Diceros bicornis minor: one gene and its partners. The protein of the gene in region 2 purifies or fractionates together with the protein of the main gene of each other region. This does not show direct contact. Links are inferred from orthologs where the notes say so. Each region holds a gene or a part of one and is shown on either strand. Other genes may lie near its edges. The genes, in order: ITGA4, LGALS1, FN1 and MET.

Region 1 (7,452 bases), on a different chromosome or scaffold from region 2:
TTACTACAGCTCTTATGTTTCAACCAGTTGATGGACTAGAAATCTTGTTTTCCTTTTTGCCTTTCATCTCAGTAAATACCTTTTTTATTGACCAAAAATTTGAAAGTTAAAAAAAATCACTTTGGCTTGCTATTTCTAATTAGTTCTTTTATTCACCCTTCAGGCTAATGACAATCAAACTTTCACTTTGCTTGTATTCATTTATCCAATAAATCTTCACTTAATTCATGTTTGTTGCACATCTACCATGCTCACATTTCTCTGAGGATATTTCTGTAGTCAATCTCTGTGCTCCACATGCCCAAAGAATTTAGGTTTTCCTTCACTTTTGACAGGCACAATTATCTTAAATTTTATATAATATTATGACATGATCTTTCCAGTTAAATACAGACACCTAGAAATTGATTCAGTGCCCTTCCAGACAGGGAGTAGAGGCTAAATAACAGTAGTTATAATGTCAGGGATAGGAAACTATGACAGGACAACAGAAATGAAATTTTTCCCTCTGGAGATCTCATCAAGATCCTCTGGCAGAACAAAGTTGTCTGCTCCCCTCCCTAATTCTTCATCCCACAACCCTCCCATGCAATGTAAATTATGCTTTGCAGAATTATTCTAAATGGATAGGTCTGAGAACATGTTGTGCTTTCCTAGTCTGTCTTTTGGGATGGAAGACGCTTAATGAGAGACTGGGGCTTATTCTACATGCTACAGACAACTCCTAGACTTTTATGGATGCTCTCTGAGTTAAAAATAAAAATTCCATTATGTGCATACTCTATTTGAATTCATTCTAAATGAAGAGAACCAGCTTCCCAGTTTGAGAAGAAGCAAAGACTACTTTGTAAAAAGAAAAAGGGGATAAAGATGCAATTACTAGCTAATCTCAAAAGTCCATTGATAGCAAAGATAAATATGAAAAAAGTACCAATTGTGACCTCCTATTCACAATTTACAGATGACTCATCAGCTCAGCAGACAACATATTGGACTCTTCATTTAATTTTATTTGCATTGAAAATGCATACATGAGGGGAAAGGACTTGGACTATAGACCCAAGGGGACCTGACTTTGACTTGGGATACCATCTTCCACTCACTAGCTGAGTAACTTCAGAAAACGTACTTGCAACTCTCTGAGTCACAGAGTCCTCACGTGGGGCAGGAACAATGCCAATCATGACCCAGTGGTGCTTTGAGGGAAAAAAACTTAAGCAATAAAACAGTGTCTGGAACAAGATAGGTCTGAATTGACATTAGTTCCATTTCCCGTTCCACTCCCCCGACCCCCCCAGTGTCTGAGAGAAGCAAATTTGCTTTTGCTTTAGCTTTGAAACATGAACTTTCCCCCCTCCCCCATCAGAACACATTTTTCAAACTGTCACAAATCTAAGAAGAGGCACTAAGAAATGACTGTGAATAGAGGTATCATTTAACATGAGAGTTTTGGGACAGGAAAATTAATAATTATACCTTAAGCCTCACTATAATTCTAGTAACAATGGAGATGCCAATTTTTCCTTTGTGCTCGTTTTTTACATTTCATATTCTAAGTAAAGCTATATCATTTTCTTTTTTAGAAAGCTCTTAGGCTAAATGACAGGATGTGGGATCAATTCCAACTGCTAGTCCTGATCTGCCCCTTAGCCTGTTCTTCAACAAGGTTAATAGGTCAAAGATGGAAATAAAATTCTTAAGTCTTGGTTTAGCTGGATCCTGTCCTTAATGTGCTGAGAGACTTTAAAACGTGTTTTACACACGGGAGGAGAGAGGAAGAGGCGATAGACAATGTATCGTAAGGAACTTTCCTCTACATAGTTTTGTCAGGGTACTGCAATCATTGTCATAAGCAAAAGGGAGAAAAATGTTGACAGAAAGAAGGAAGCCACTTTTATGTTAAGAAGGAAAGATGGGGTGGAGTTAAGAGTGAAAATCATTCGCTTTAGACTAGAAGTAACAGGCAACTTGAGGTCTTCCAGGACTTGTGCTACGGTGGGGTCCACAAGTGGGAGGTCATTCATTCCTGGTCCCAGACCCAACTCACCCAGCTGGAGCTGTTCGCACGTTCGGTCTGGATTCTTTCCGATCCGGCATCTGTAAATCGCCCCGGGATTGACCACAGAAGCGTTGGCAAGCCAGTTGGCCGTGGGCGCCCCCACCACGAGCCTAAAGCGAGAAATGTGCACGTGCGCGGAGACTTGAGCCGTGCTGCCCACTGAATTCTTGGTCTCAACAGACATGCAGCTGGCAGCGGGGCCGCTCCCTCACCTCCTCCTCCGCCCACCACCCCGCGCACCCAACCAGCCACCCGTAACTCGCAGCTCCAGGGCCTCGCGCCAGAACGCACCCCGGGCGCTGCTACCCCCAAGATAAGTTAGTTTCCAGAGCAGATCTCTGGCGAGCTGGCCGTCGCAGCACTCCCCTTCCGCCTCCTCCAGAGGGGGGAAAGTTTGAATCAGGCAGGGAATCCCTGAGGAGCCCTTCACACGCCGGCTGTGAGATGCCGAGAGCGCCCGAGTCCGACTCCACTCACCATCGGTTCGCCCCGTGGCTGTGCAGCACCACGGAGTAGCCGAACAGGGTGTTGGGGGGGCCCTGGTAGAGCAGCGCGTTCTCGGTGTCCAAGTTGTAGGGGCGCCCGGTCGGGACCCCCAGGCACAGCAGCAGCATCACCGCCTCCCGGACGGTGGCCCCTCGGGGGCCCAGCCCGCGCCTCGCTTCTCCAGCCATGCGCTCTCGGAGGGAAACATTCAACACCAAACGGCCACTGTCCCCAGTTGAGCGGGATGCGACGGTCGGCCAAGGGGAAGAACGCCCCAAGAGAAGAGGCGCAGCGTGTCCGGCGCCAGCCGGCGGGGGGGAAGGAGGGCGGGAGGAAGGGAGGGACGGAGGGAGGGAGGGGAAGTCTGGCCGCCGCGGGCGGGGCAATCGGGGGCTGCCTTGGATGCCGCCCGCCCTCTGTGCCCCACGCCTGGGTTCTGCAATCGGGAGGTGCGGGTGCTCGCGCGGTCCCGGGGCGCTGGCCGCTGGGTGGGGTCCCGGGCGTGGTGCGGAGTCGCAGGACCGGGCGCCGTCTGCCCCCGCGCACGGCTGTAGGGGGCGCTAGGGGACCTTGGCTGCTCGGGACGCGCATTCGGGCCGGGGCCTCCCAGCCCGCTGAGCGCGATGCTTCGGGGCTCCCGGGGCTTTGCAAGAGCGGAGCTGAAAGGGGCCCGGGGCTTCGCCTTTTAACTGTGGTTGCGGCCTGGATGCGGAGCGGCGTGGCCCCAACCCGACACCGCGCGCACCCCACTATGAGCGCAGAGGCTCCGCGGCCTGCCCGGCATGGCCCAAAGGCCAGCTACAAATCCGAGCACCGAGACTTCGGCGGGGAACCATCCGATCTTACGTTGATAATTAAGCGCTGTATCTGATTTTTGGGACGGAAGCAACCGCGAGAAACATTAACCGGGGGGGCACAAATTAAAAACAAACAAAAGGAACTCCCTGAGTTTCCCTGAGGAACATTTTGGTGACAAAGACCTTATGGCTATTCACTTCAAGACTCAGAGCCCTGCACCTTTCTATGCCCACTTCCTTCCTGCCTACACTTCCTCTTAAATCCAGGCTGCCCGCCTGAGGAGGCAGACCAGCCGCGCTCAGGCTGAATGGCACGCGGTTTAGGCCGTTGCTGGGTCCAACAGCGAGGCTGGGTTAAGGAAGCACTGTGACTCGCCTCATTTCAACGGATTCCTCTCTCAGGCTCTCAATGCTCCTCGTTTCCACACATCCACCCAGTTGCACCGGATACACCTGCCATCGGGGGTGTACACCCAGTGTGAGGTCAAGAGACAGACACCATAATCAGCCTCTGAAAATGCACTGGAGACCCACAGCACAATACACCTGACCTGGGCGATGATTCGCATCCTAATGAAATCCAGACGTGGCTCAGGTTGCTGTCTAGAACAACCAGAGAGACAGCCCTAGATGATTAGGCCAATATTTGCAGGAGATGCAGGTCCAGTTGTTAATTATTGCTATATGAAAACACAAAAGAAGAAAGAAAGAGGGTTCATCTAAGAATGTGTGTGTGTGCCTTAAAACGATACTGAAATAGCACGTCTTAAGCTGTAATGGCAGACACATAATTAAAATACTCATTTATTCAGCACATTCATTGAGCAGACACATTGCTAGGCCCACAGATTACCACAGTGAAGAAGGCAGGAGAAGCCTTCAGGAAAATTTTCACCCAAGTGGTAGAGAGACAAAGTTTTACTAACTAGAGAAAGTTCTGAATGTTTTAGCGACACTTAGAGATTTGAAGGACAAGGAGGGCTGAGTTAGGCTAAGCAGTTTGAGAGGAGGAGTGAGGTGTGGCTCAGCAGGGCCAGGTAGAGGAACTGGAAGAGGTGGTCTTGGTGGAGCATTGAGCTGCCCTCACATAGGTTAGCATGACAGGAGGCTGAGCAGGGAAGTAGGAACACATGGTGAACCTCTTAAGCCAGGTTAGGAATTTTTAACTCTATCCTGGGGCTGACAGGAAGCTGTTCAAGGATTTGTCTTGGTCAGCTGTGGGTTTTCAGAAGTGTGAAGAAAAGACTGAATACAGAAAACCTAATTTTGGAGGTTCCTGCAGTCATGAGCAGTGAGATGACGGTGGCTTGAACTAGCAAAGAGCAGAAGGGATAGAGGAAATATAGATTCAAGAGATATCTGAGAGATAGAACCCAACAGAACTCGGTGACAGTATTGGTAAATACCAATGAAGAGCTGAGATGAAGGAGTCAGGATGATGCCCAAGTTCCGAGTTTGGGATCTGGGTATATGTTGCTAATTCATAGAGAAAAACACACTGGAGGAATGAGGTTATGCATGCATGTGTGTGTGTGTGTGTGAATGTGTACAGATGGAGGGTACTGATGAATTAGGTTTTAGACAGGTGGAGTTTGAGATGTTTATGGAATATTCTAGCCAAACCCCACCCAATTATTTTTACTCTTTTGTCAACACACAAAACAGGAGGAAGGTAACCCTCTCATTATTTGCAACAAAGTAAAAGTCAGATAATGGTGTGTGATACATCTATTGTAAAAAGGAAATGGCTTCCAGAAAAGTAGCTATTGGGGCCCATGGGGAATGGTCCTGCTCTGTTTTTCCACTTAGGGTGTATTTCTTTCTGAGTAGATCTATGTGCTGATTTCAACCCAGTTCTACAACTCGAGCACATTGTCATCACTCTGAAACAAGCAATCCCTCTAGTTTGCAGCCACAAAATTTCCCGGTGAGGCCGGGGAAGCAGGTATATCAAGGCACTCCCACACCCTCCAGACTCTGACAATGTCAGAGCCACTGATTTGAAACCCTACCTCTTTCTTTCCCTCCCTTCACCAAGATCTTGTACAATGAAATCTACTCAACACAATTTTTCTCATAGCGTGATTAAGACGAGTAGCGGCCAGTAGCGCTCTTGATGGGGCAGGACCTTATTTCTACGATTGCAGTTATGGTTATGATTTCACCACCTTTCCAGAAACAGCCACCCTTTACTACCTCACATGCTGTGTTAGCCCTGAGCTTTCTTCCCTCAAGGCTTAGAGAACAATTCACTTTTCCTAAGTCCGTAAGAATAAAGGATGTTTAATGTTGCTTTCACAAAGCCTGAAGATACTGCTCTCTCTCTAGTCAATGCTTTTGTAGGCAAGTGTGACAACTGGGTGTGGGGCTGTGTGGCATGAAGGTGTAGAAGAGGAGGACTTTTAAAAGCTACTTATGCCTATGACTCACCCTCAACTGAACTTAAATATTCATTCAATTAATATGTGTCATTTGATTAATATACAGTCACGTGCCACATAATGACGTTTCAGTCAATGATGGATCACATATATAAGGGTGGTCTTTTAAGATTAGTACCATATAGTCTAGGTGTGTAGTCGGCTATACCATCTAGGTTGGTGTAAGTACACTCTATGATGTTCACGTGACGAAATTGCCTAACAATGTATTTCTCAGAGCATATCCCCGTCATTAAGTGACGCTCGACTATATATCAAGTGCCCACTATGTGCCAGGAGCTGCAAAAAGGACTCAAATAAGAATAAAAGACAAAACACAAGTGGCTTCTATCCTTGGTAGGAAGTTTTCCCCAGTAGAGAGGATTCTATTATGGGCTCACGCAACTTCTCAGTTGTTATCAAGAGTGAGCACTTCTCCTTCTTGAAAGCCTCTCTTCTCATGATAGTGCCTTTTTTGAGCTCCCCTCATTTTCTGTCTGGCCACCCTGAGTCTCCTTTGCTGGCTCTTTTTCTCCACCACAAGTGTTGGAAAGCCTGAGGTCTCCCTTCTGAGCCCTCTTTCCTTCTCTTTCCCTCCTCCCTCTTTAGGAGATCTAACCCATTTTCCGTGTCTTTAAATACTAGCTACATAATACCATTAGATACCACTGTGAGTAGCCAACCCATGTCTCCAGCCTTGACCTCTCTTCTGAGCTCCAGGTTCTTATGTTTCACTGCCTACCCGATGTCTCTACTTGGATGTCTAGTGGGCACTGTGCACATAACATATCTAACACTGAGTTCTGGTTTCCTTACCTGCGACTAAACTATGTCTCCACCCAATCTCTCACTTTCCAGAAAATAGCGCTCTATCTGCCCAGTTGTTCAGATCAGATATTTGGGGAAAAATCCTTGATCTTTCCTCCCCCTATTCCCCATATTTAATCCATCAATCATTAAGTTCTATCAATTTGACCCCCAGAATATATCTCAAGATCACCTATTTATCTTCTTCTGTCCTGCTACCACCCTCTTCCAAGGGCAGTAATCTTGTCTGGGCTGTTCAACAATCTGCTACCTACTCATCCCTCGCCCACACCATCAATTTTCTACACAGAAGCTAAAGTGAACTTTTAAATTCTAAATCAAATCATGCATGCCCCTCCCTCCCTTGAATCCTTTAAATAGTTTCCCATTTGCTCTTCCCATACAGACCACACTTAACGTGGCCTGCAAGGACTCTACGATCTGGCCTCTGACTGCTTTGCCTGTTCACCATTGACCACTTCCCCCAGGATCACTTTGCTTTAGCCGCATCGGCCTTGCTTGATTTTCTCAAGTGCATCAAGATTTTGTCACCCTCGGGGCCTTTGCCCATCTTGTTCCCTCTGCCTGGACACACCTCTGACTTTTCCCATGCTTCCTCTCTTCAGTCGCACCTTAAAGGTCTCCTCCTCACAGAGGATTTTCCTGCCCATCCACTTAAAATGGGTCACCATATTGTTCTCTCACAAACAATCCTGTTCATTCTCTTCAGAGCTCTTTAATGTATAATCATATATGTATTCACTTTTTCATTGTGTCTTCCTCTCTAGAATACAAGAGCAGAACACATGGGTTATGTTGTAGCTGTCGTTCACCACTATATCTCCAGCACCTGATATGCTGCCTGGCACACAGCAGGTGCTCA
Region 2 (7,093 bases):
CAGGGGCGACGGCGGCAGGTCACGGGCCCTCCCCGAGCCCTTTCCTCACGCGGCCCTGACCACAGCCCCACTTCACGGGTGAGCTGCTGAGGCTGGGAGAGGGGACAACACTCAGTGGGATCACACAGCAGGTGAGGGGGGAGACAGGAGGGGAGAGGGGGGAAAGGTGGGGAGGGCAGGGTGGGACCTAGGTCTCTGGCCACTAAACCCAGCCCCGCCCCAGTCCCCGCAGCACCCTGCCCCTGGCCCCCAGCCCCAGCCCACCTCCACGACACTCCCGGGCTGGAAGGGGAAGGCCGACTCCCGCTGCTCGGCGCCCCAGGCCCCGCCATCCCTGCTGTTACACACGATGGTGTTGGTGTCCCCGTGCATGTTGAAGCGAGGGTTGAAGTGCAGGCACAGGTTGTCGTTGTCTTTGCCCAGGTTCAGCGCAAAGCTAGGGGCAACAGGTGGGATTGAGGCCTCCTCAGCCCGCTGCAGCCCCCGCGGTCGGCACCGCTCGGTACCCCACTAATACTCCTAGCCAGGAGGACTCCCTTAGCGGGGAGGAGGAAACCTGGATTCTAGTTCTGGCCCTGCCACCTCCTTGTTGTGTGACCTTGAGCAAGTCCCTGCTCCTCTCTGGGTCTCAGTTTCCTCTGCACAATGGGGGCTGCACAAGGCGGCCCTCTTAGAGTCTTGCTGGGCTGACAGCCAAGGCTCTCACAAACATTAGTTTGTGTCCCAGCCCTTTGGGTCAAGGTCGGAGACTCCCTCTAGATGGTGACCTCCGGGAGGGCAAGTGTCCTGTCTGTCCTGTATATCTCTGTACCCCTGGTGCCCGGCATGATGCACGACACACAGTAGGTGCTCAATAACCGTGAGGCAGCGAATGAACAAATAATACTTAATAATACATGTGCCGGGTGGAGATAAGAGCCACGCCCAGCTCCGATGGCTTCCTAAGAATCATATGAACAGCGCACAGGGGGTGTGCAGCTCTTTATCGCGTTATCGGGGTCATCAGCACAGTTATTGAGAAACCCAGCATCTCACTTCCTCTACACAACCACCTCTTGCCCCACTAACTGATTAACACCCAGGATCGGTGTGGTCGGGTGACTGATCCAAGGTCACATGGTTGCTGCTGAATTAATGATGGGTGAAGGAAGGACGAAGGAATGAAAGGTTGAGTGAGTGAGGAACGCAGGAGAGAGGGACCTCAGAGGAGAGCAGGGAGTGACACCCTCCCATCCCCTCTTCCTGTCCCCCGCAGCCTCAGGTCCCGCCCACAGCGGGGGCCGGGGGCCGGGGGGGGGGGGGGGCAGCCAAGGTAGGTGAGGCCGCAGCTGGTTTAGTTTAAGAGGCTCCAGCTGGAGGGAAGGGGGCGACAATGGTGCCCGCGGAGGAATGGTCCAGACCCCGCGGAGGAAGTGACTCATCTGGACAAAGCAGCCTCAGCGGCCGCCGGCTTTAACCCCTTCCCCCTAGGGAGGAGCGAGGCCTGGCGGGCCACGCACCTACCAGATGCGGGGCAGGGCCCTCGGGCTCCGATCCCCCGCCGCCCTGCCTTCGCCCCCTCACCTCTTGGCGTCGGGGGTCACCTCGCCCCGCACTCTGATGCACTCCCCGGGTTTGAGATTCAGGTTGCTGGCGACCAGACCCTGCGCAGACAAGACCACGCCCAGCCGGTCAGAAGACCCTGTCCGGGGTGGGGTGGGGTGGGGCGGAGGTCGTCCCCACCCTGGATCCTCTGACCAGGCCAGCTGGAAGCCTGGAGAACCCGGGTGGCAGTTCTAGCCTCTCTTTCTCTGTGTGGCCCTGGGCAAGTGCCTATTCCTAACCGGGTCGGTTTCCTGTGTGTAACACAACTGAGGTTCTAGAAGCCAAGATCTAGAACTTTGTGCGGTTCAGCTTGGGGATTTTGGATTCAGAGTGGCCTAGGGTGCTATGCCCCATCGCCTCACTTAACAGATGGAGAGAAACCAGATTCAGGGTGAGTCACACTGCGAGTTGGTGGCAAAGCAAGGTAAACGAAGGGGTCTGCTCCTCTGCTGGAGAAGAAGAGGCCTGCAGCTGGGGGATCCCCAACCAGCCCCTTGGAGCCGGCTCCTCTGTGCAGAGAGGTGCAGGGGCTGGGGAGGAGACCCCTAAGGAGCTCTGCACCCTCTGCAGAAGGGGAGAGCCGCCAAGAGCTGGAGTCTGCAGCCTGGCTGGCTCAGGGTTAACAAGATTGAGCCCTGAGCTTAATCAGTGCGAGTGGTTCCTTCTGCCAGAAATTTGAACTCTTTCCCTTGGGGCCTGGAAGATTCTTGCCTCCTTCTCTCTCCCTTAGCTCCTGACCTCCCAGCTTGTGGGAGTGGGTGGTGGGGAATTCCCCCAGCCTTCGCCTGACCGGCCTGGACAGAACCACCCTCCACCCACTAACCCAGGCAGGCCCCCTCCCAGACAGCCTCTCAGATCCTGGCGACTTTTCAGAGCTCTCTAGAGCAGAGGGTGACTCTGCCCTGGCTGGTAACTGGGGACAGCTGCAGGGGGGAGGGGACAGGAGGCTCTTTGGAGTGGAGGAGGAGGGGGAAGGAACAGTGGCCTGGGAGTCATCAAAGTGCCCCCCCCCCAGTTGGCCACACCCTTCCCACTCCCATTTCTCAGAGAGCTGCAGAATGTCAGACCTTGGCAGAAAAAACTGTGCTGTCAGACCCTGGAGGAATCAGAAAATTCTTAAGCCAGAGAAGGCCTTGGGGGACCATGGCGCCCACCCCCATTTTACAGATGCGGCCACTGGGCCCAGAAAAGAAAAGGTACTTGCTCAGGACCACACCGTGGGGACTAGAACCCAGATCCTGATCTGCCCCCACTCTCCCCTGGCTGTCTGCCTCCACCATCCCTGGGCCTTGGGGCGAGGTCCCCACACTCACGCAAGCCATGACTGAGGACTCGAGGATGTTCCTGGGGACTGCGGCACCAGCTGTCTGAAGACTCCACCCGAGAGATGGGCCCTGGGCGGCTCTCGCCCTTTTAACTGGTCCAGACCCTGGTGAGCCCCGCCCCTTGGAAGCTCAGCCAATTGTAAGTCAGGAAAGGGATGGGGGCCACTGGAGGCGGAGTCAATGGAATTCTGAAGCCGGTTCTGGAGCAGAGGTGACCAATCAGAGTGGACACCCCCCCACTCCTTCTTAGTCACTCCTCCAGGGTCCAGGCTCCACCTCCCGTTCTCCTCCATCCCTCCCTACCCCCCCATAAATTGTGCTGTGGTGGGGATTGGGGGAAGCCAATGGAAAATAGTTTGAGGATGAGCTAGGCCCAGGAGTTGGCGGGAAGGGGCCCTGGGGCCAGCAGGCTGAGCTCAGGGGGTACCCAGAGAAGATGGCTGAGGGGGTGCAGGGTCCTTCAGGGAATTCGAGCTGGGGCTCCTGAGGCTGCCCCTGGCAGGGACCAGGGCGTGGCCCGCTCTGCAGACCTCTGCAGAGGCCCAGGACCCATTAACCACAAGGCCCCACCCTGGCCTCCCCCGGAAGCAGGGCTCGTGTCTGCCGCTGTGCTGGGCCCGTGCCAGGCCTGAGGCGGCCGCCAGACTTGGGACTCAGGCCTCGGGCTTCAGCACTTCTGAGGGGCTGGTTGGGGATCCTCCAAGAGCCCCTGCCTGACAGCCTCTGACCTGTCTGAGAGGGTCAGGCCTGGGAGGGGACCCAGGGTGGGCCAGGCCAGGAGGGGTTGGGGGTCCCTGCTCTAGGCACCCCCTGCCCACTCTCCTCACATCTCTGCCTCCAAGGCCAGGCCTTTCCTTTCCCTAACCGGTTAGCAGATATTTTACTGGGCACCTACCGTGTGTCCTGGCCCTGAGCTGGCCTCAGAGGATTCCAAGATGAACCCCTCCCAGTCCCTGCTCAGGTAGCCCATTGCTGGGGCAGAATCTGGCCATGAAACTAACCAAGAACTGGTGTGATGCTGGCTCTAAGGGAAGTCATGAGCAAGCACCACGGTGGGGTGGAGACTGTCCAGAATGTGAAGAAGGCGAGTCTTGAAGGATGAGTGCAGAAGGAGAGACTGGCGTTCCAGCATGGGCAAAGGCTCAGAAATGAGAAAGCACGGGTCTAGGGACTGTGAGCATCGGGGCATGGCTGGAGTTCAGGGTGTGCTGGGGAAAGATGGGGCATGAGGCTGGGAGGCCAGGAGTACCTGGATCATGAAGGGCCTCATTGAGGGGCTTGGACATTGTTTTATCTGAGGGTACTGGGGAACCACAGAAGGTTATAGGGAGGGTGAGTATTGAGGCCAGATTTGGGCTGCAGGGAAGATCAGTGTAGCAACAGAGTTGAAGGTGGGTCAGAGGGGTACTCACCTCGCACCCAGGAACCACTGGGGAGAGGGGCATGGGGAGCACTTGGCGAGGTAGGGGGCTTGCTAGGGGAGTTGTCAATGGGACCTCCTTCTCGTCATTGCCATCCCCCTTCTGAAACTGCCAGCACCGAAGAGGGAGGAAGATGCAGACCAGGAGTGACTCACATCTGGAGGCCAGGCCAGCAAACCAGCCTTGCCCTCCGCTGCCTCCCCAGCCCACCCTCCTCCCGAGGACTGAAGCCCACCCTGGCACAGGAGGAGTGGGGAGTGCACGGGGGGCCACGGGAAGGCCTGGGGAGGAGGCTGGGCCTCACCTCCTGCAAGCCCCTCCCCCCTCCTCCCTTCCCAGCGGGCTGCCTCAGAAACCAACTGTAGCTGCTTCACTTTTCCTCCAGGGCCCCCCCCAAACCTCAGCATAGGCAGGGGCAGGTGGGGCCAGCTCTGCTGCCTTTCCTCCGTGTTCCCCCTCCAAGGGCCCAGACACCCTCTCCATCTGATGGAGAAATGGCGGCATTTCAGCAGGAGTCCTGCCCGGGGACCAGAGGTGCTTCAGGCACAGTCCTCACCCAACTGCCATCAGGTGGGCCTGGCTGGCTGTTCCAGCCCAGAAGTGGGGCTCCCCCGGGGCCCCAAGAGCTGCTCCTCCATTCTTCCCCCAACCTGGAAGACTGGCCCAGCACCAGGAAGTGTTTGCTATTGGATGAGGGGCTGCTTTCTTCCCCTCCAGGGTCCGGCCAGCTGAGGGCTGGTAGAGAGGGGGCATGGCATTGTGAATAGGCCCCCTGGAAAGGCCCCTTTGGGAGTCTGGAGACTTGGATTCTGGTCCTGGCCCTGCCATGCCCTCCCCAGGGCATCCTGGCAAGTTGCCTCTCCCTGCTTGCCTCAGTCTCCCCATCTGTAAATTGGGGAGGTGAAACCCTGCTCTCCTGCACAAGGTTAGTACAGGGTGGAGTTCAGGTCTGTTGTACTCAATAGATGATTGTTTTTTCCACAGTCTTAGAAGGTTTTAGCCTCCCTCTTGTCTGTTTTCCCAGGCTCTCCCACCCTCACCTCATCCCCAACAGTCCCCTCCTGCCTAGGCTGGCAGAGAGTCTCTCCAGATTCTGGGTCCCCTATAACAAGGACTGTGGTTTTCCTGGGGGAGGCAGGGACAAGGTGCACTGTGACCCCACTCCCACCCCGTCCTCAGGGCCTCCTAGTGGTGGCGCCCACTTATCTGCCAGGCCCTGTGCCCGGCGCCGTGCTTTCATACATTATCTCATTTCCTCCTCACCTCCCCGCTGCTTCGTGTCTGCCAACTGGGTTGAACGTCTGCACAGGGAAGCTGTGCAGAAACGAAGCTGACGTTAGAATTGGGAGAAGAGAGGCGAGTCCTAATTTGGGGGTTGCCTGGCTGTGACTGTGGCCAAGGTCCTGGACTTCTCTGAACCGTTTCCAGGCCGGGGAATTGGGAATGTTACCCACTCACCAGCTGGTTGGAAGATTACAAGAGTGATGTGCGGGACTCAGCATTAGTTCTCTCTCCTGTACCCGCCAAGGCCAAGGCCCCCCACCCTGGGGACTCTCCTCCTCTCTCACCGCCCTGCAGCAGAGGCGGCGAGCTCTGTGGAATTCCTCTCTTCTACAGGCTGGTCCTGTGGGCTGGACCTTGGCTGCTGCCGTGAGAAACGAGCTCAGCTCGTTTGGACTGGGGATCCAGGCCCTTCCTAGCCTTCGTCCTCCTGCCCTGCCCGCTCCTGCTCTTTCTCTGTGAAGGCTGCGTCTCCTCCAGCTGGCAGTGGTGGGGAGGGCTGCCAGGCCCACGAGGATACCATCCGCAGCCCCCAGCCGACCTGGCTGGCCTGGCCTGGGAAGGTGGGGGTGATCAGAGCCAGCTCCAGAGTCCTAGAAGTCAGAGCAGGGAGGGACTGCAGAGATACTGCACCTGACCTGCTCCTTCATTTAATGACACAGAAACTAGCAGCAAGAGTGGCCACTTGGCCAAGGTCACACAGGGAGCTAGAGCTGAAGCCCTTTCATCTCCTAAGCCAGGGAAAGCACACTGTGGTCCTGGGGTACCTGGACCTCAAGAACGATCTTTTCTGGATCCTGCTCCATGAAGGGTAGGAAGGACTAGTGGGGGGTGCCCCCAACTTCAGGCACTTTTCCAGCTGGTTTGTGCGAGAGCCCGCCCCCACTTACCTGCTCATCCGTTCTCACCTCTGCCTTTGCTGGTGCTGTCCCCCCTGCCCAGACAGCCTCCTCCTCAAACACAGTGGACCTGTCACTCTCGCCCTCCCACCTGGTGTCTGTCCCCCTTCTGAATACAGGCCGCTGCTTGCCTTTGGGGACCCGCTCTTCCTCTCATATGAGGTCTGGGCGGGGTCCAGACTCTGTCATTCATTAGCCCTCCAGGGCTCAGGCATGAGTCCGTTCTGTTTTTTTTTTTTTAATATTTTCTTTTGAAATAATTATAGACTCACAGGAAACTAAGTGCTTTTTAAGAGCTTAGAAAATATTTGAGACCTGAGGAAAAAAATGTATTGGCTCCAAAATACTAAAATTGCAGAGCTGAAATTCATAAATGTTTACTGTGCTCCAACTTAAAACTTGGTAGTCATAAAAACTGTATTACATTCGAAAACAATTTTGTAGGTTGAATTTACTTACTTTGAAAGTGTCCCACGTATTCCTAGAGGTTGGTCACCCCTAAATTAGATCCCCACAGCCAAATAACGTCTAAAACAAAAGTATAAAAGTACCTTGAGGGGCTGGCCTGGTGGCGCAGCATCTG
Region 3 (7,963 bases), on a different chromosome or scaffold from region 2:
GCTAATTATTCCATATTATCTCCGGGAATAGCGAGATCTGCTTCCAGGTATAAACTATTGGTCACAATGAAACCCCACCGTTTCTGTGAGATGCAAGAGGTCTCTGCATTGCAAACAAGAAGAGCAGACCACACAAGGGCGAAGTCACTCTTCATAACCATCTTCCCAATCACTGCAGATAACCACATGATCACCCTGGCTTGATGCCCAGGTAATGTAAAATGGGCAGCTCCTCTAAGCACGTCTTACTGGAATGGAACCCAGGAGATCCACTTGGTTACACTATGTACATACACACACACTCATAAATCCACACAGACTAAACACTGATTCCACCTGTGCTCAGAGCCATCTGCCAGAAACACAGGAACCAGCTGGGTGACCACGTTGAGTATCTGGCCACCCAAAGTTAGGAATATCCAGTCACGGATAATAGAAAGTGACAGGGACGGTAATAGAGAAATCCCCATTTATGGCATCTCAGTGTCGTTTCACAGAACGTCTTTCTTACTTGCAATGGTGCAGCTGATTCTCCCTCGCCCAGCCCCGATGCAGGTACAGTCCCAGATCATGGAGTCTTTCGGGCGCTCATAAGTGTCGCCCACCCGGTAGGTGTTTCCAGTGTACTTGTCAAAGCAAGTCTCTTCAGCTGAGGGGAGAAGGCAAGTCCATGTGAGCCTCACATACGTACAAGTTATCCTATTCCACTAATCCCATCCAAAGGAAAACCCACTTTTCCATTCCAGGAGTAGTATGGGACAACGGAAAGTTATAAAAAATTGAAGTGAGAGTTCTGGATATTATCCTAGGCTCTAATAAAGCCTTAGTTTTTGAGCTTTGACAAGTTCTCTAATTATCTGTACATTAATTTCTACTGTATAGGATTCTCAGGCCCTTAGAAAAAAGCCATATAACATACTCCCTTCGGACAGGCTAGATTATGGTCTAGATTATGGTTCAGATTCTGGTCTCTGACTCAGAAAGTCAAACGAAGGTCCACACAAAAAGCAAACAGTTTGAAGAGCCCCACCTCCCACCAAGCCTGGTCACTTGCTAATCCTACTCTTTCCATTTTAGCCTCCTCAGGGCTTCTCCGCAGGATGTGCTATAATTTACAAGAAACACATCAATGGTCATAAAGGAATGAGAACTTTGAAGTGGTTAGTGGTTTTGTGTGACAAGTCACTTTACAATAGAGTACCCAAAGTGTTTTCTGGCTCAGAATCTTACAGTTTAAGATTTGAGATTACTTTCTAATAATTAAAATTTTATAAGCAATTTTTTTGAAGGAGAACACACAAAATCTTTCATTTTCTCAACAAAAATTTTGGGAGAGTAAAACAAAAAGAAGACTCTAGGAACTACTTTGGGATACATTTATTCTTTTGTTTTAAAGGTAAAAGGAACATGTGAAAAGCAAATATAAGCAGTTATTAAACACTTTTAAAGAGGAAATGACATACAATTCTACTGGGAAAATGGTGTATGCATTTTTACTACTAATGTTAAGTTTAATTAATAAGCACCACTTCTCCATCTATTAAAAGATACTAACTACCAGGCTCGCCACCACTTACGCTCCGGTTTACTCTCGCAGTTAAAGCCTCGGCTCCCTCCGTAACAGGTACAAACCAAGGCATTGCCCAGGTAGGTGCGCTCCCACTGTTGGTTTATCTGATAGTGTTTCCCATTGTCGTAACAACCAGCTGTAAATAATTGAAGGAAAATCATATTACATTTGCATTCCCCCTTTTTCCAAATTATGGAATTTGCTTGTACAATTAAATTGATGAGCCTAAGCAACAAACAGAAAAATAAGTTAATCATAGAGCACCAGGAGAATTAAAAGTAATATTCCACTAGTATATAGATATAGAAACAAGCTATCTAAAGAGTTAACCACAACTTGTACACGTACACATTTAGGTATTCCTTTTTTTTCCCCGGTTTAACTTAGCTAAATGTTATACAATGATGTCACTTCCATCTGGCCAGGGGTCTACATCAAAGGAGTGGAACATTTTGAAAAGCAGTTAACTGGAATTACATCTTAAAACATGCAAGGAACTTCAGTGCTCTTTAAAGGACAACTTGAAGCAGTTTCCTTTAGCCAAGGCATAGGGAGGGTGTGTCTTCAAAAAACTGGAAGAGGAATTCCAATCTCTGTTCTTGGAGAAGTATCCTGAGGGGCCCCTGAACAATCTGAACCAATTACATCTCTTTCAAGCTACTTAGGAACCACATAGCTATCTAGCTACCCTCTTCCCTGGTTTTGAAAATATTTGACCAGTTATTTAGTAACAAAGAAAATAAGAAGCATAAGGACCACGCTGATTCCAATTGGAAAATTCAAAGGCATACAGCATTTTTCGCTTTAAAGGCAAGTTTTGATGAATCACAGGAGGACGACCTGAACGTGTAGCTGATGAGAGCCCTGCAGGACATCGCAGAGCCCCTGTCCTCCAATGCATTCAGAACCAGCCGGCTCAAACCAAGAGCCTTTTGTATCCACAGCCGATTTCTCTCCTGAAGGCGTGCACACACTCCACACACGCGCGCGCGCAAACTTCAGCCACAACTTTGGTCGCCTCTACGGTCCCCTCCGTGCCACAGCCCGTTTCAGCCCGCGCTCGGTACTCACGCTTGGTTTGGCTGACAGCCACCGGGGACGGGGGCTGAACGATTTGCTGAGCCTGCCTCCTGCTCTTCGCGGCTCCGGTGGAGGGCACCGCCGTCCCCAGGGACAGCACGGCCAGCAGCAGCAGCCGGGGCCCCGGACCCCTGAGCATCTTGAGACGGTGCAGGGAGAGACGCCCTCACCAAGAGGCAAGTTGCCACCAAGTTGGGTTCCCTTCGCAACCTGCGGGAGGAGTCCCTTCCAGTGGCTCGGAGAGGGCAGGGGCCGGAGGATGGGGCCGGGGCCGCGCAGAGGGACAGAGGGGAAGGAGAGGACGAGAGAAGTCGTGGCTGCACGTCCCCTCCTCGCTCGCGCCCGGGGCTCCCTCTCCCCCCCTGCACAGCGCAGCCGGCGCGGGCGGCCGAGCCCCGAGGGCCGCGGTTTATATGGGCCGGTCCCCTCCCGCCCCCCGCGAGGCCGGGCGCCGGGGGGGGGGGCGCCGGCCCGGCCCCCACCTCCTCCCGCCGCCGCCGCCCGCGCGCCGATTGGCCGGGCCCCGGGTGACGTCAGGGGGACTGCGGGTTCGCCGCGAACAAAAGAGATGCTGATCGCCCGCCAGGACCGGGGCAAGACCACTTTTTTTTCGGTTTCCTTTGCGGTCGTCAAACTTTTTGGGGGCTGAGGGCGGAGGGATGGGAAGCGGCTGGAAAGGGGTAGACTGGGAGGAAAGGGAGGGGCTGCAGTTGGGCGAAGCGAAGGGGTTGCAAGTCTTCCCCTCCTCCCCCCGCTCCCTTTTCTTTTTTCTTGAGGTGGAGGGGGGTTTGAGGACATTGCGTCATCTCAACAAAAATCTCAGCTCACTGGAGTGTATTTTGGGGGAAGGAAAACCATAAAGGAGCCACCACCTTGCAGCTGTAGGAATGTAGACTTGGCAGTCCCGGGGCGGGGCTGGCTTTTCTCCCATTCCCTCTCTTTGGTCCAATGTGCACTGACTTGGGACTCACTTTCTTTGCCTTCACAGCTCCCTGTTCCAGACTTTTCTCCTTCTACACGCTGTACCTGCCCGGTTCTGAGGAAGTGCTAGCTGGGGGGCAGAGGAGAAAAACCAACCTTTAATGAGCTTCTACTAAATACCAGGAGTTCTGCGGGGCGCTTGGCGGATCTGGGGAAAGTTCAGAGAACGGGGTTTCTGGGGTTTCTCTTGAAAGGACAGAGCGGCAGTTTGCTTTTTTGAACATGCAGGAAAGTCTTCCTTTCCTGGGAATGGGACGTCTATTTCCACTGAAAGTGAAGTCAGTCGTGGACTGGGAAACTGGGAAGTTGGACAGTCCGTGGAGAGAGAAAGATCTTCAAGTCGTTGTCCCTGTTCACCATGCCCGTTACACACAATGCAGAGATCCTGTGTGACTCACTAAAAACTGAGACAGACCGTATACAGTCTTGCCTTCCTGCAGCCCCTTTCTTGCGTTTATTTGGCATTTTTTTTGGTAGACATCAGTTTCATCACAGAATCCCCCTCCCCCAGCCCCGCTGCCAGATTTTTAATATTTCAATCGTTACTAACTCCAAGAACGTGTAAAGTTCCCATTTAAGATTTCTCCCGCTTTCCCTCTAAACTCAGAAGGTCGAAAGGGAATATGAGAAGTCTCTAGCATTTAGCAACTCGTCACATTAGCCTTTTTTCAGGCAAACACAAGTCACACTTGCTTTTAAAGATATTTAAAAGGAGTCCACAACTTTCTTCAGTAACTCCTGAGAGAAGCAAACTCAAAGCTTTGCCTTCGATTTATGTTAGTAGGGCAGACCTCCTGTTTGCTTCGAGAACTTACGAAAGCTACTAGCAAAATGTTTATTTCTGCAAGTGCTTTTCTCCAAAAGTTCCACCTTCAGTAACTGCCCTGGGGTAATTCGAACTCTAGAGTCTATAAAATGCCTGACACATTAAAGATACAAAACTAACATGTGTTTTTATTAATGCAGGGAATTAAAACAAACAAACAAAAAAAACCCACAGCAAATATCAGTTTCCTACATGCAGTGTAAAATAACTTCTTGAGGAATCTTTGTGAGCAACATTTCAAGTTGAAAGAGTGCCACGGATTTCCCCAAATTTAGAGTCCCGTCTGGGTTACAGTTTTTTTTAAATTTCTCATCCTCGCTTGACAAAACAGTTTTCTCTTTCACATATAAAAGGGCCCCTTGTAAAATTCTTAGTAAATTTCTGGGAAGCTGAGTGTTCCTTCCACAGGCAAGGATACCTGGAAATCAGGATGTAAGCAAGATAAACCTGGAGCTAAAGCTTTCTTCAAATACATAGATTCTGGGGGAAGGAAATAAGTGGTTACAAAAGTATTTTCCCAACCAAAAACATGAAAGTTTGATATATTTACTGTACTCAAAATACATTAGGATAAATACCTATGAGAACTTGGAGGAAAAAAGCTCACCTTACATTTCAGAAGAAACTTTTATATTTCAATCTCATTGAAATATAATTTAAGGAAATGTTATATCTCTAGTGTCTCATAAGCAAAAAGATAATAATATTTGACTGAATTTCTTAGGAATGCTTCGAAGTTTACCCTCTTACTTGAAAGTTTTTTCAAAGTGTGGAGATGGAAACATTTTCTTAGTTAAGATGAGAAGGCTTGCGACAGTATTCTTTCATTATCAAAATTCCTTGTAACTGTGTAAGACTATTTTCTCGACCTGCAGAGAGAATTAAATCTTAAAGACCACGATGACTCTGTTCCGACTCAACTGGCTTGCCTAGTGTCCAAGAATCCTGAAGACTATTTGGCAGAGTGGGTTCCTAAGTAAACAGTAGCCTTTTACTTGTAGGAAATATCCTTGGATTTCTTTTTCTTATCTTTATTTGGAGAGGGAAACATGACAAAAGAGACAAAAAGTAGATTCCCAGGTGCCTGGGGCTGGGAACAGGACTTAACTGTAAATGGGCACAAGAAATCTTCCTGGGGTGATGGAAATAAATGTTCTAAACTAGATTGTGGTGGTGGCTGCACAACCTGGTAAAGTTACTAAAAATCATTGAGTTGTACACTTAAAATGGGAGGATTTTATGGTATGTAAATTATACCTCAATAAAATTGTTTTTAAAAAATTGATTATAAGGTGGTATTTCTTTATTCTTTTTGATTTGTATCACCTGCTTATTTTGTTCCAAGGGCTTGCTCCCAAGTGGCTGCAGCATACACAAGGTGTCTTCATTTCCTCATTTTTCTAAGAGGAAGTTTGCCTTTAACACAGTAGTGGATCTTTCTTCTATACCAGTAACTCCTTACCCAACCTAGTATTTGTGTGATGGCATGTATGTGGTGGAGAGAGAACAAATCTGCATCTAGGACTGTGCCTTGTTTTTTCTTGGAATTGCCATAGCAATAGGATTTTTCCAAAATTTAAGACAAGTTAAATTTCATTAACAAGAAGGAGCACATATATTTGTGTATATTGGGAGTGGGGGTGTTATTTGGATGTTTTGTTCTTGGAGAAGTTAATGAGAATGAGAAATTACAGAAATCTGAATTGAACTGTCTTCACTTGAGCTGAAGATTATGGTTAAGCACAAAAAGAATTTATCAGATCCAGTCATCTAAAGAGGATTGAAATTAAAACAATTTAAGGGATAAGTTTTAAAAGGCAATTTTTTTCCAAGTGAAAAATGGGTTTCCTTTAGGAGTAAAACACACATTACAGACAATACCCCTCCCTAGCCAAATCCCTTGCCTATTGAAAAAAATCTTATCCCTGATAAGAAATAACTTCTTGACCCTGAGGGTTACATTTAGACGAAAGTGGGCTGGTTTTCCTGAAAACCTTTAGCTTTTATCCTGTTCTTAATCTCTTTCAGTCCTGTTAGAGGGGAGGCCATTGACTAAGTGACCTTTGGACTTTCGACCTTAAGAGCCTGTAGTGTCTTGTTCTATTGCATGGTCTCAGTAGGTAGGTTGGATGGAGATAAATTACAGTAGTTTTGTTTCTTATCTTGACTTTATTTTTTTGGCATGAAATCCTTCCCATCTTCTTCCCTTGAAAACAGCCAAGCTTGCAAAACTGCTACTCATTAAGCACAGGTATGAGAAAAAAAAAACTCCCCCCCCCCCCGCCACCGGCAGCCCTCATGGGTAGAATGTCTGGGCAGTTTGTCTAGAATTGACTGGGCTCCTGAAACCAGGGAAAAAATACTTGATAACAGCTTTAATTTATGCCTTGATGTCTAGCCAGTTTTCACTTAATAAGCATTTTGTTTATATTTGAGTTACTTTATGATTTAATCAGCACTTTCGAGAGCCTTAATCTACGCCCCTTGTTTTTTAACAGGAGTATTCTTTTCTCATTAGAGTGACATAACTCCCAAAAGGCTTTGCAAAGGACTCTAATTCATCCAGTAAAATGAAACTAACTACTGTGTAGCTGGAACACTTCACCAAAACTGTGTTCTAGACCTTTCCAGCTTTCCAAGATAGGTAGCACTTTCTAGGAAAAATTTTATTTTTGTGTTTTGCTCCTTTTTCTAATTTTGCTTTATTTTATGTTGTTGGCTTTAAAGGTTTGTTTTGAAAGGCTGAAAAAAAATTTTAAAAAACTTGAAAGATTTCCAGTGTTTAAATTATGTTCTATCCTTTTTACATTCACACAATTTCAGTGTCTCATATGCAGCTTATCATGAAGATTGTGTCAGATGCTTAAAAATAACCATAAACATTATCTCTTAAGTAAACTGTTATGCCAACAATAGGCTATTGTGATATAGGTGGTCAATAGTAGCCTTTTGATTGATTAATTAGTTATAATAAATTAACTTGTATTCAACTGGATATTCGTATTATATTTAACTGAATTATAAACATGCATGTATAAATATAATCGAATTTATCTCTAACTGTATGTTGAACTCTTATCTAGATAAATTTGATATATTCTCTCATTAGCTATGAAAATATTACTGAGATGGAATAGACATTTAAAACCATTACTATGTTAAACATGAAAAGCTAAGGCAAGCTTAAGTGTGTGATCCAGGTCATAAAGATTTCAGTACCTGAAGAGAAATACAGTTAAATAGTTAGATTTTATCAAGCACTTACTCTGAGCTAGACCTAGTACTAAGTGCTTTATATTCTAAGTACTAAGTGCATTTTTTCATTCAACCATCAACAATCCTCTGAGGTAAATAACTCTCAACTTCTCTCTCTCATAGATGAGGGTACAAGGCTTAGAAAACTAACTAGAATGACGATTTCTGAACCACCAGCCTTGTAGAAATTGTGGTATCACTTAATGAACTCCCTCCGGAATGAAAGTATGTGCAAAGCAATTGGCTAAAGG
Region 4 (7,140 bases), on a different chromosome or scaffold from region 2:
GTGTGATGTCCCCTTAATAATTATGGATCTTGGTTCAGTTTCTATGTGTGATATTTATCTGTATATCTAGATTTTAAACTCTTCAAGGGCAGAGATTTCATTTCTTCCTTTTAAAAAATGTTCCCCTAGTACCAAACACATAGAACGCTCAACATACAGTTCTTAGCTATTTTTGGTGAGGCGAATGTGGGCCTGGCAGCAACTGAGTGTCTGTTAAGAACAGAGAATCAAAGTGATCCTGAGTTGACATCAGTCAGTATACCTACCATTTATTACTAAGAGGTGACTATTTTGCAATGAGCAAAGCCCTTGGAGAAACTCTGCCCTGAAGGCTCAGAGTCAAAGACACCAGTTTCAACATACACCAGGGAAGTAAAGGAGGTTACATGCCCAGCCCTTGAGCTTCCGCATATTTTCAATCCCCTTAAGGTGGCACAATTAAGAAATTCGGGATTCCATGAACAAACACAGAATATTATGGATGGTGGGAAAAGAAAGCATAGACAGTCTGGTGAGAAGCATTAAGCCTAATGACAGCGAAGAAACCATGAAATTGGAGTGGAGAAAAGCATAGAAGGGCTTGGAAGCAGCTCTGACCAAACCAAGGGAAAGGGATGAGGAGGAAGGGGGCAGAGAGACCGGAGCTACTCTGAACGTGCAGGGAGCTGTGTACACACCATGGGTGTGTCACCATAGGCACTGGTGCAGCCACTTAGAGAACAGTGTGCGTCCTGAGAGGATGTTAGACCTTTTGAGTTATTCACTTTGTTTTGAGATGACCACATTTGAGAAAAAGTTTGTTTGAGGCTATTATACCCATTTGTAAAAGGAAAATTAGACTAATGCTATTTTGGACTATTTTTTAGACTAATGCTATTTTGGACTATTTTTTAATCAACAGCTAAGGAAATTGATTTTTGAAATGTATTTCTTAATCTAACCCTCATTAAAACAAATTTTTTTAAAATTTCAAGATTATAGTGGGACATACACATACAGTCTTAAAGGAATTTATAAGAGTATTTCCCCCACTTAGAAAAGTAACATTTTTCTTTTATTGTAGGTTTAAAAGTCATGAAAATACTAGTTACGAGCTTTCATAGTGACCGGCTGTGGTTCATCTTGCACATCTTTATCATTCAGATAAACCTTATCCACTAATTCTGAAGGCACGGAGTGTACATCTAATGTAAACCTCTACTGCAAGTATTAAGAACAAAGCAATCTTAGAAAAAGCAGTAGTCAGCAGATCATCTTCTATATGCCATAAATTCCATCATATTAAAATCAAAATATACTTAGGTTAATAACTACAGGCTTATGCACTGTCAAGTTCGAAACGAACAGAATTTTTAAAACACCAGTATATTTTATAGGCAATCAGACACAAAAAATTTTGGTACAACAAAAAATTTCTTATGAGTGATGTAAATTTCACCTGTCTTATTCAGCAACCCAAAAAGAATGAACACTGAATACACCACAGGCTTTTGCAGTCTATGACTGGAACCAAAGCATCTCAGCTCTGTTCCATTACGGACGGTTACATGTTAAAACAAAGCCCAGTAAGCTCAGAGCTGGAAAGGAAAGCTATGCACCTGTAAATAATCTGAGCACCACTTACAGTTTACATAAAAGCACAATTTATGTCCCAGTAGCAAAGAGAAACATGATGTACACCATTTTCAGATCATCCTCATGCAGAAAAAATTCATTAGTCAGCTATAATAGTTTAGCTGTAAAGGAAAATAATGTTTTTCTGAATCCATTTGCATGGCAATGTGCATGTGTCTGGCTGATGAAAATGACAGGAGAAACCTCCACCCAACTCTACACAACGTTAACAGTCTTCTTAAAATTCAGGAGAGGGTCCAGATAGTCTATATTCTCTCCAACGTCAGTTTTTACAATCCTCTCACATTCATCGACCATCTTGAACTTGGCAATTAAAGTATCCTGATTATTTTGCCTAAGAGAGTTGACAATATTTCATTCTGCCCCAAGGCTCCTTTGAAGATAAAATTGTTAAATTGTAAAATACACTGGGCAACTATTCATGTGTGAGCCACTGCAACCCTCTCCAACTGTCAAATTAGTAAATGACTCTTTTAAAACATAAAAGGTATGAAATGGGAAACCGTACTTGGGAGTAAATTCTGCATTGGCAATAGCTGGTGAAAATACTTTGGTTGGTGCTTTAATTACTGGGTCAGTACCAGTACAAGCCAGACTGCCGACCGCTGGTTATAATCTATTTCACCTAATAAGATAGATGTCCTCCACAGAGTCCCAGCCAAGAGAGAAGGTACGATTGAAAATGATGGATCACAAAGCCCTGTGTATTTGCTAGAAATGAAGAATTCAGACCTTCACAGAAACACCTGCCCCTTGGAAGGACCCCCACCCACTAATACAGATAAAGCAGGGTTGGGAACAAGGAACAAGGAAACCGCTCTGCGGCTCAAACCTTGCCGGCTGCATCACCCTGGGACTGGGTGACCGGATCCCCTTTGTAAGGGCTGAGTCAGATCACAGCCTTGAAACTTGCCCGGCCATAACAGTCATACATCACCCTCTCCTCTGACTGGCTGTGGTTTAATCTTGTCATCTGTGTACATCTTTATCATTCAGACAAACCTTATCCACTAATTCTGAAAGCACAGAGTGTACATCTAATGTAAACCCCTGTTGCAATGTATTGCGCCCCTCTCTCTCCTGAGTCATACAGGTGGCCGTCAGAAGCAACCCCCTAAAACGAAAAGCCCCATTCTAGTTTCGACTCCCCCCTGGCCACAGTCCTTCAGTTTCTGAAGCCCCTAAACTCTCGCCCACCTCCCCGGTCTCGTCCTCTGGAACAGCAGTCAGGTCTCTTAGGGGAACAAAGAGAGGAGAAGCGCTGGGGCCAGGGGTGGGTACGGGATCTGAAGCGGACTGCAGTTTTACCTTGCGGCGCCCAGGACCCGGCGGAGGAGAAGTCAGCCGCGCTGGGACCACCGGCGCGCTCCGCGCCTCCCCGCAGCAAGTCAGCTGTCGCCCCGCATCTGGCTCGCGCCCTCCGCTGGGCTCTGCATCTGGTCACAAAGCGCTCGGGGCTCGGGGCGCTGCGGGCGGCGAGAACCTCCGGGTCACCTGCCTCCGGGCCCAGCCGAGCGCCCCGTCGGCTCGCCGACCGCGCTCCCTCCGCCCCTCCCCACCCGCGCGCTGCCCGGCCCGTGACTCAGCCGGGCATCGGCGCGCGCGGCCCGGGCGCGTCCAGGCGGGAGGCACGGCCAGGCGACCCGACCGCGGCGCTCGCCCGCCCGCCCCAGCACGTGTCTGTCTGTCTCGCGCACTGTCCGTCCGCTGCGTCCGCCGGTCCGAGGACCGCTGAGGTGGGGACTGGCACCACCCAGAGGGGGAAATCGGCCCCCGCCCTTCCTGCCGCCCGCGCGCCGCGCCTGGCCCCGCGGGGGTCGCGTTTCCTCCCGCCCCGCCCACGGCAAGGTGAAACTTTCTAGGTGGAGAAGTTTCCTCGCCCTGGCTGCGCGCTCTCTCCTCCCCCAGCTCGGGGAGTTTGAAGTTTGCAGCACCGGAGATAAGCGGCACCGAGTCTCCCCCTCCTGGTGCTCGCGCGGCGAGCGTCCCCCGGCGCGCCCCCTCCGCGCTCCCCCGCGCGCGGCCGGCGGGAAAAGCGCGAGGCTCTGCCCGGAGCCTCTCCCGCGGCTCCGCCGGCCGCCGGGCGCTGCCCGGCGGGGAGGACGGTTAGGGCGCCGCGGAAACAAGGCATTCATTGTCCAGGCGGAGGTGGGAGTGGGTGGACGAACTGTCCCAAGGATATCGTTATGCAACCATTATCCTCTACTATAATAACTCGGATTTCTGGAAGGAAGAACAACACAGGAGTTGAACCCTGATGAAACTTCACTATCACTTTTTTTTTTTTTTTGTAGCAGGAAACAGGCTGATTAAATAACTAGGCAAACATCAAGGAACAAGCAAAACAGAACAAAAGTTTAATTCTTGAATGTTGAAATCTTACGATTTTTTTTTTAAAAAAAAAAAGGGTGTTAGGGCCTTGGTGAGTTGTATCAGGATAACTTTTTATATCTCACATGTCTGAATATAAAAATTGACATTAACCTTCAAGAGAAAATAAACACTCAAAGGTAACAGGATCTAAGGAAGAGCGTTGCCTATTAGGACTTAGCATTCTCCTCTCTGGCTCTGGGAAGGGCTTGTCAGATAGTGGCATCTGGTAGTTATTGACAGTCATGGGACAAAACGACATTGACTGTGTAGGTTCAGGAATTATTTACTACAGAATGAAAAATAGGAAAATATAGTAAGAACAGTTACCGTTTTCCTGAGAGCTTACTATGTGCCAGGCGCTTTACCCGGGACTACACAGAGCCGTTTCCATCCTCAAATGTGATTACCTCATGATTCCCCAATTTTATGGAAAAGGAAAGTTCCCGTTACATAATACTGTGCTAGAACTCTGCATTGAACCATTTTGCAGATGAGGAAACTCAGTGCCTGAGAGTTCCTGTGAGGGTCACACAGCTGGTTAGTAGAAGAGGAGAGGTTAGAACCCAGCTCTCAAATCCCAGTCAGGTGTTCTTCACAACATGCCAAGAGGCCACAGCCTGGGAAGGCTAAATAAACAACACAGCCCTACTGAAGATTTCCTAATATCACATGGTGTAATTTAACAATGACTAGGGTTCATATTAAAATGCTAATTGACTGGTTGGAGGGCCCTGGGCCTATTTATGGACAGGTCAATTATAGTTTTGGGGTTCAGTACCAACTTCCAATAAAAGGTGAATAAACTAATGAATTTACACACACACACACACATAATTAGTCATAGTTGTCCAAAGGAATGGTTAGAGTGCTGATTCTGTTTCCTGGTTTCCATAGCAATATGTTAACTGGATTTTTAGATTGCATTATGTAGTTGCCTTAACAGGTTTTCTGAGTTTGAGTGCCATGATAAAAATATAAAAGAAAAAAATTACAATTAAAGTGGTAGAAAGACCCAGAAAATCCAGTACAAACTGGAAAATAAAATAGATTATAAATCCAAATAACCTATTATATATTTTCAGCACTGGTTTCCTAGTTTCTAGTTACTGACAAATTTCAGTCCAATTTTGAAACTTATTAAGAATTGTCATTTTGATTTATTAATTATAAATAAGGAGATAATATTTTATAAAAATAACATAACTAAGAATAGCATAACTAAAAGTAACTGAGTGTATGAAAATCAAATAATTAGTTTTTACGCACTACCTAGATAGGTTTGATCCAGAAAAGAGTTAAAAGTAATTTCACATATTTGGAAAAGGAAAGAAGCAAAAAAAGAAAAAAAAAAAGGTCATAGGAGTTCTACAATTCAATTTTGGTTTTGTGGCCAACTTTAATTGTTGCTGTTTAACTTCCCTTGGATCCATGGCATGGGTGACACACTGTATGATGAAGTTCGGTTGGTATTTTCCTAACCAAACCAAACCCCTGTGGCCAACATTGTTGGCTGGCTAAGCCAGCACCTGTTCCCAACCAGATATTCCCTTGCCTGCCTCCACTCTTATAGCTGGAAAGGAGAAATACTTGCTTTCTCAGACTCCTTTGCAACCAGACATGACCATGTGATGTCATTCTGGTGATGAGTTAAGCTGAGGTCTATTGGGGACTTCTGGAAAAGAGTTTAGTTTCCCTAATAAGCTGGTGCCACCCCTTCTCACTTCTTGCGTTCTTGATTTCATATATAATGCTCAGCAAAGAGCTAGCCATCTTGCAACCATGAGGAGAAAAGTTGGACTCTGACACTGCTGAGCGACAGCACCAATGCCAGTAGACACCTGCTTCCAGATTTTGTTTTGTAGAAAAATACTTGTTCCAGACACTGTTAGCTGGGATTTCTGTCGTCTGTGGCCAAAAGCATTCAAAACTGATATACCCCTCAAATGAGGAGCAAGACATCTCCACGTGTAGCATAGCAGTTAAAGGTGTGGATTTTAGAACCAGACAGCCTGGATTTCAAGCCCAGTTCTGCTGCTTGCTAGCTATGTAACTATAGGCCAGTGGCTTAAACTCTCTGTGCCTTATCTGTAAAATGGAGATGATAATAGGATTATTGTGAGGATGAAATGAGGAGCTATAAGTAAAGCACATAGAATAGTGTCTGGTAAAATATAAGTGCTTGAAAGACATGAGCTATCCTTATCTACACACTTGTGGATGACATAGTGCTCAACTATAAGCAAGATCCCATCTCTTAACCCTGAGATGGCCTAATGGTAGCCATGGTCAAAGGGGAGAGGAGCAGCAGTGTCTCGCTCTAAATATGCCACATCCTTTCTGCTCTCCCTGCAACACATTAAAATTGGGATCTTTGAAGGTACTCTAAGTTTGTTCACATGTTACTGTTTTTGAAACGAAAGAAATCTTCTTAGCACAGGGGCTTCATGCTGGCAACCTGTAGAGACTTGCCTAGGCCCACAGAATGTTTTTTAAAAGTTTGAATTGCAATAGACAGAACATATGTTCTGCAGTTTGCCATCATCCCATCTTCTCTTGTAATGCATCCCGCCTACCTCTGATCTTGACGTCACTTTCTCCTGTAGGTGTTAGGATTTGTGACCCCTGTCTTAGAGTATTTATTCTTGGATTCTCTCGCTCTACTCTCTTCCCTTCCCTTGCCCCGTTGCCCCTATTAGTGTGCCTGTGGAAAAGGTCTCCACAGAAGGACAAGAAGAATTATTCAGGTGCTGGTTCCTCAAATCATTTCTGTGGGCAAATACAATTTGGGGATATAGGACTCTTCTTACCCTTTTTAGAGATACATCATGCACATTAGAATATTGAAGATTCTGAAAAATCACAGGGAAAAACAAAACAGAACAAAGCTAAACCGAAAATATGCCTTTTTTTCCTCATAACATCTTCAGTAGCCATTTTCCGTAAAATTAGTTTAATAGGTAACATGCTTTGGGAAACCTTGTCTTAAAGAATGCCAGCTACAAAGGGTTAGAATGAGGCTCTTGCAATATGAACTACTTTTATGTTGATTTGTATTGGTCATTTGCTTGTGGCTGGGCTCTCTAAAAATAAAACATGCAATGTTAAGTTATCTAAAAATATGACCAAGCGTAT

Evidence for each region.
Region 1: the proteins of LGALS1 (region 2) and ITGA4 purify together in Homo sapiens (affinity purification with mass spectrometry; 3 studies listed by BioGRID and IntAct, with this or other methods). This does not show direct contact. The link is inferred for Diceros bicornis minor from reciprocal best matches to the Homo sapiens genes LGALS1 and ITGA4.
Region 3: the proteins of LGALS1 (region 2) and FN1 purify together in Homo sapiens (affinity purification with mass spectrometry; 3 studies listed by BioGRID and IntAct, with this or other methods). This does not show direct contact. The link is inferred for Diceros bicornis minor from reciprocal best matches to the Homo sapiens genes LGALS1 and FN1.
Region 4: the proteins of LGALS1 (region 2) and MET purify together in Homo sapiens (affinity purification with mass spectrometry; 3 studies listed by BioGRID and IntAct, with this or other methods). This does not show direct contact. The link is inferred for Diceros bicornis minor from reciprocal best matches to the Homo sapiens genes LGALS1 and MET.

Annotation. Positions count from the first base shown.
Region 1 is NC_080749.1:61,482,325-61,489,776, reverse strand, and holds the start of ITGA4 (integrin alpha-4), read right to left. Parts: upstream 3,013-7,452; 5' UTR 2,734-3,012; coding exon 2,537-2,733; intron 2,170-2,536; coding exon 2,048-2,169; intron 1-2,047. UniProt on the Homo sapiens protein: Integrins alpha-4/beta-1 (VLA-4) and alpha-4/beta-7 are receptors for fibronectin. They recognize one or more domains within the alternatively spliced CS-1 and CS-5 regions of fibronectin. They are also receptors for VCAM1.
Region 2 is NC_080764.1:12,074,374-12,081,466, forward strand, and holds the start of LGALS1 (galectin-1), read right to left. Parts: upstream 3,004-7,093; 5' UTR 2,907-3,003; coding exon 2,898-2,906; intron 1,644-2,897; coding exon 1,564-1,643; intron 437-1,563; coding exon 265-436; intron 1-264. UniProt on the Homo sapiens protein: Lectin that binds beta-galactoside and a wide array of complex carbohydrates. Plays a role in regulating apoptosis, cell proliferation and cell differentiation. Inhibits CD45 protein phosphatase activity and therefore the dephosphorylation of Lyn kinase.
Region 3 is NC_080776.1:6,219,825-6,227,787, forward strand, and holds the start of FN1 (fibronectin), read right to left. Parts: upstream 3,012-7,963; 5' UTR 2,790-3,011; coding exon 2,642-2,789; intron 1,707-2,641; coding exon 1,578-1,706; intron 650-1,577; coding exon 512-649; intron 1-511. UniProt on the Homo sapiens protein: Fibronectins bind cell surfaces and various compounds including collagen, fibrin, heparin, DNA, and actin. Fibronectins are involved in cell adhesion, cell motility, opsonization, wound healing, and maintenance of cell shape.
Region 4 is NC_080742.1:67,624,130-67,631,269, reverse strand, and holds the start of MET (hepatocyte growth factor receptor), read right to left. Parts: upstream 3,003-7,140; 5' UTR 2,944-3,002; intron 1-2,943. UniProt on the Homo sapiens protein: Receptor tyrosine kinase that transduces signals from the extracellular matrix into the cytoplasm by binding to hepatocyte growth factor/HGF ligand. Regulates many physiological processes including proliferation, scattering, morphogenesis and survival.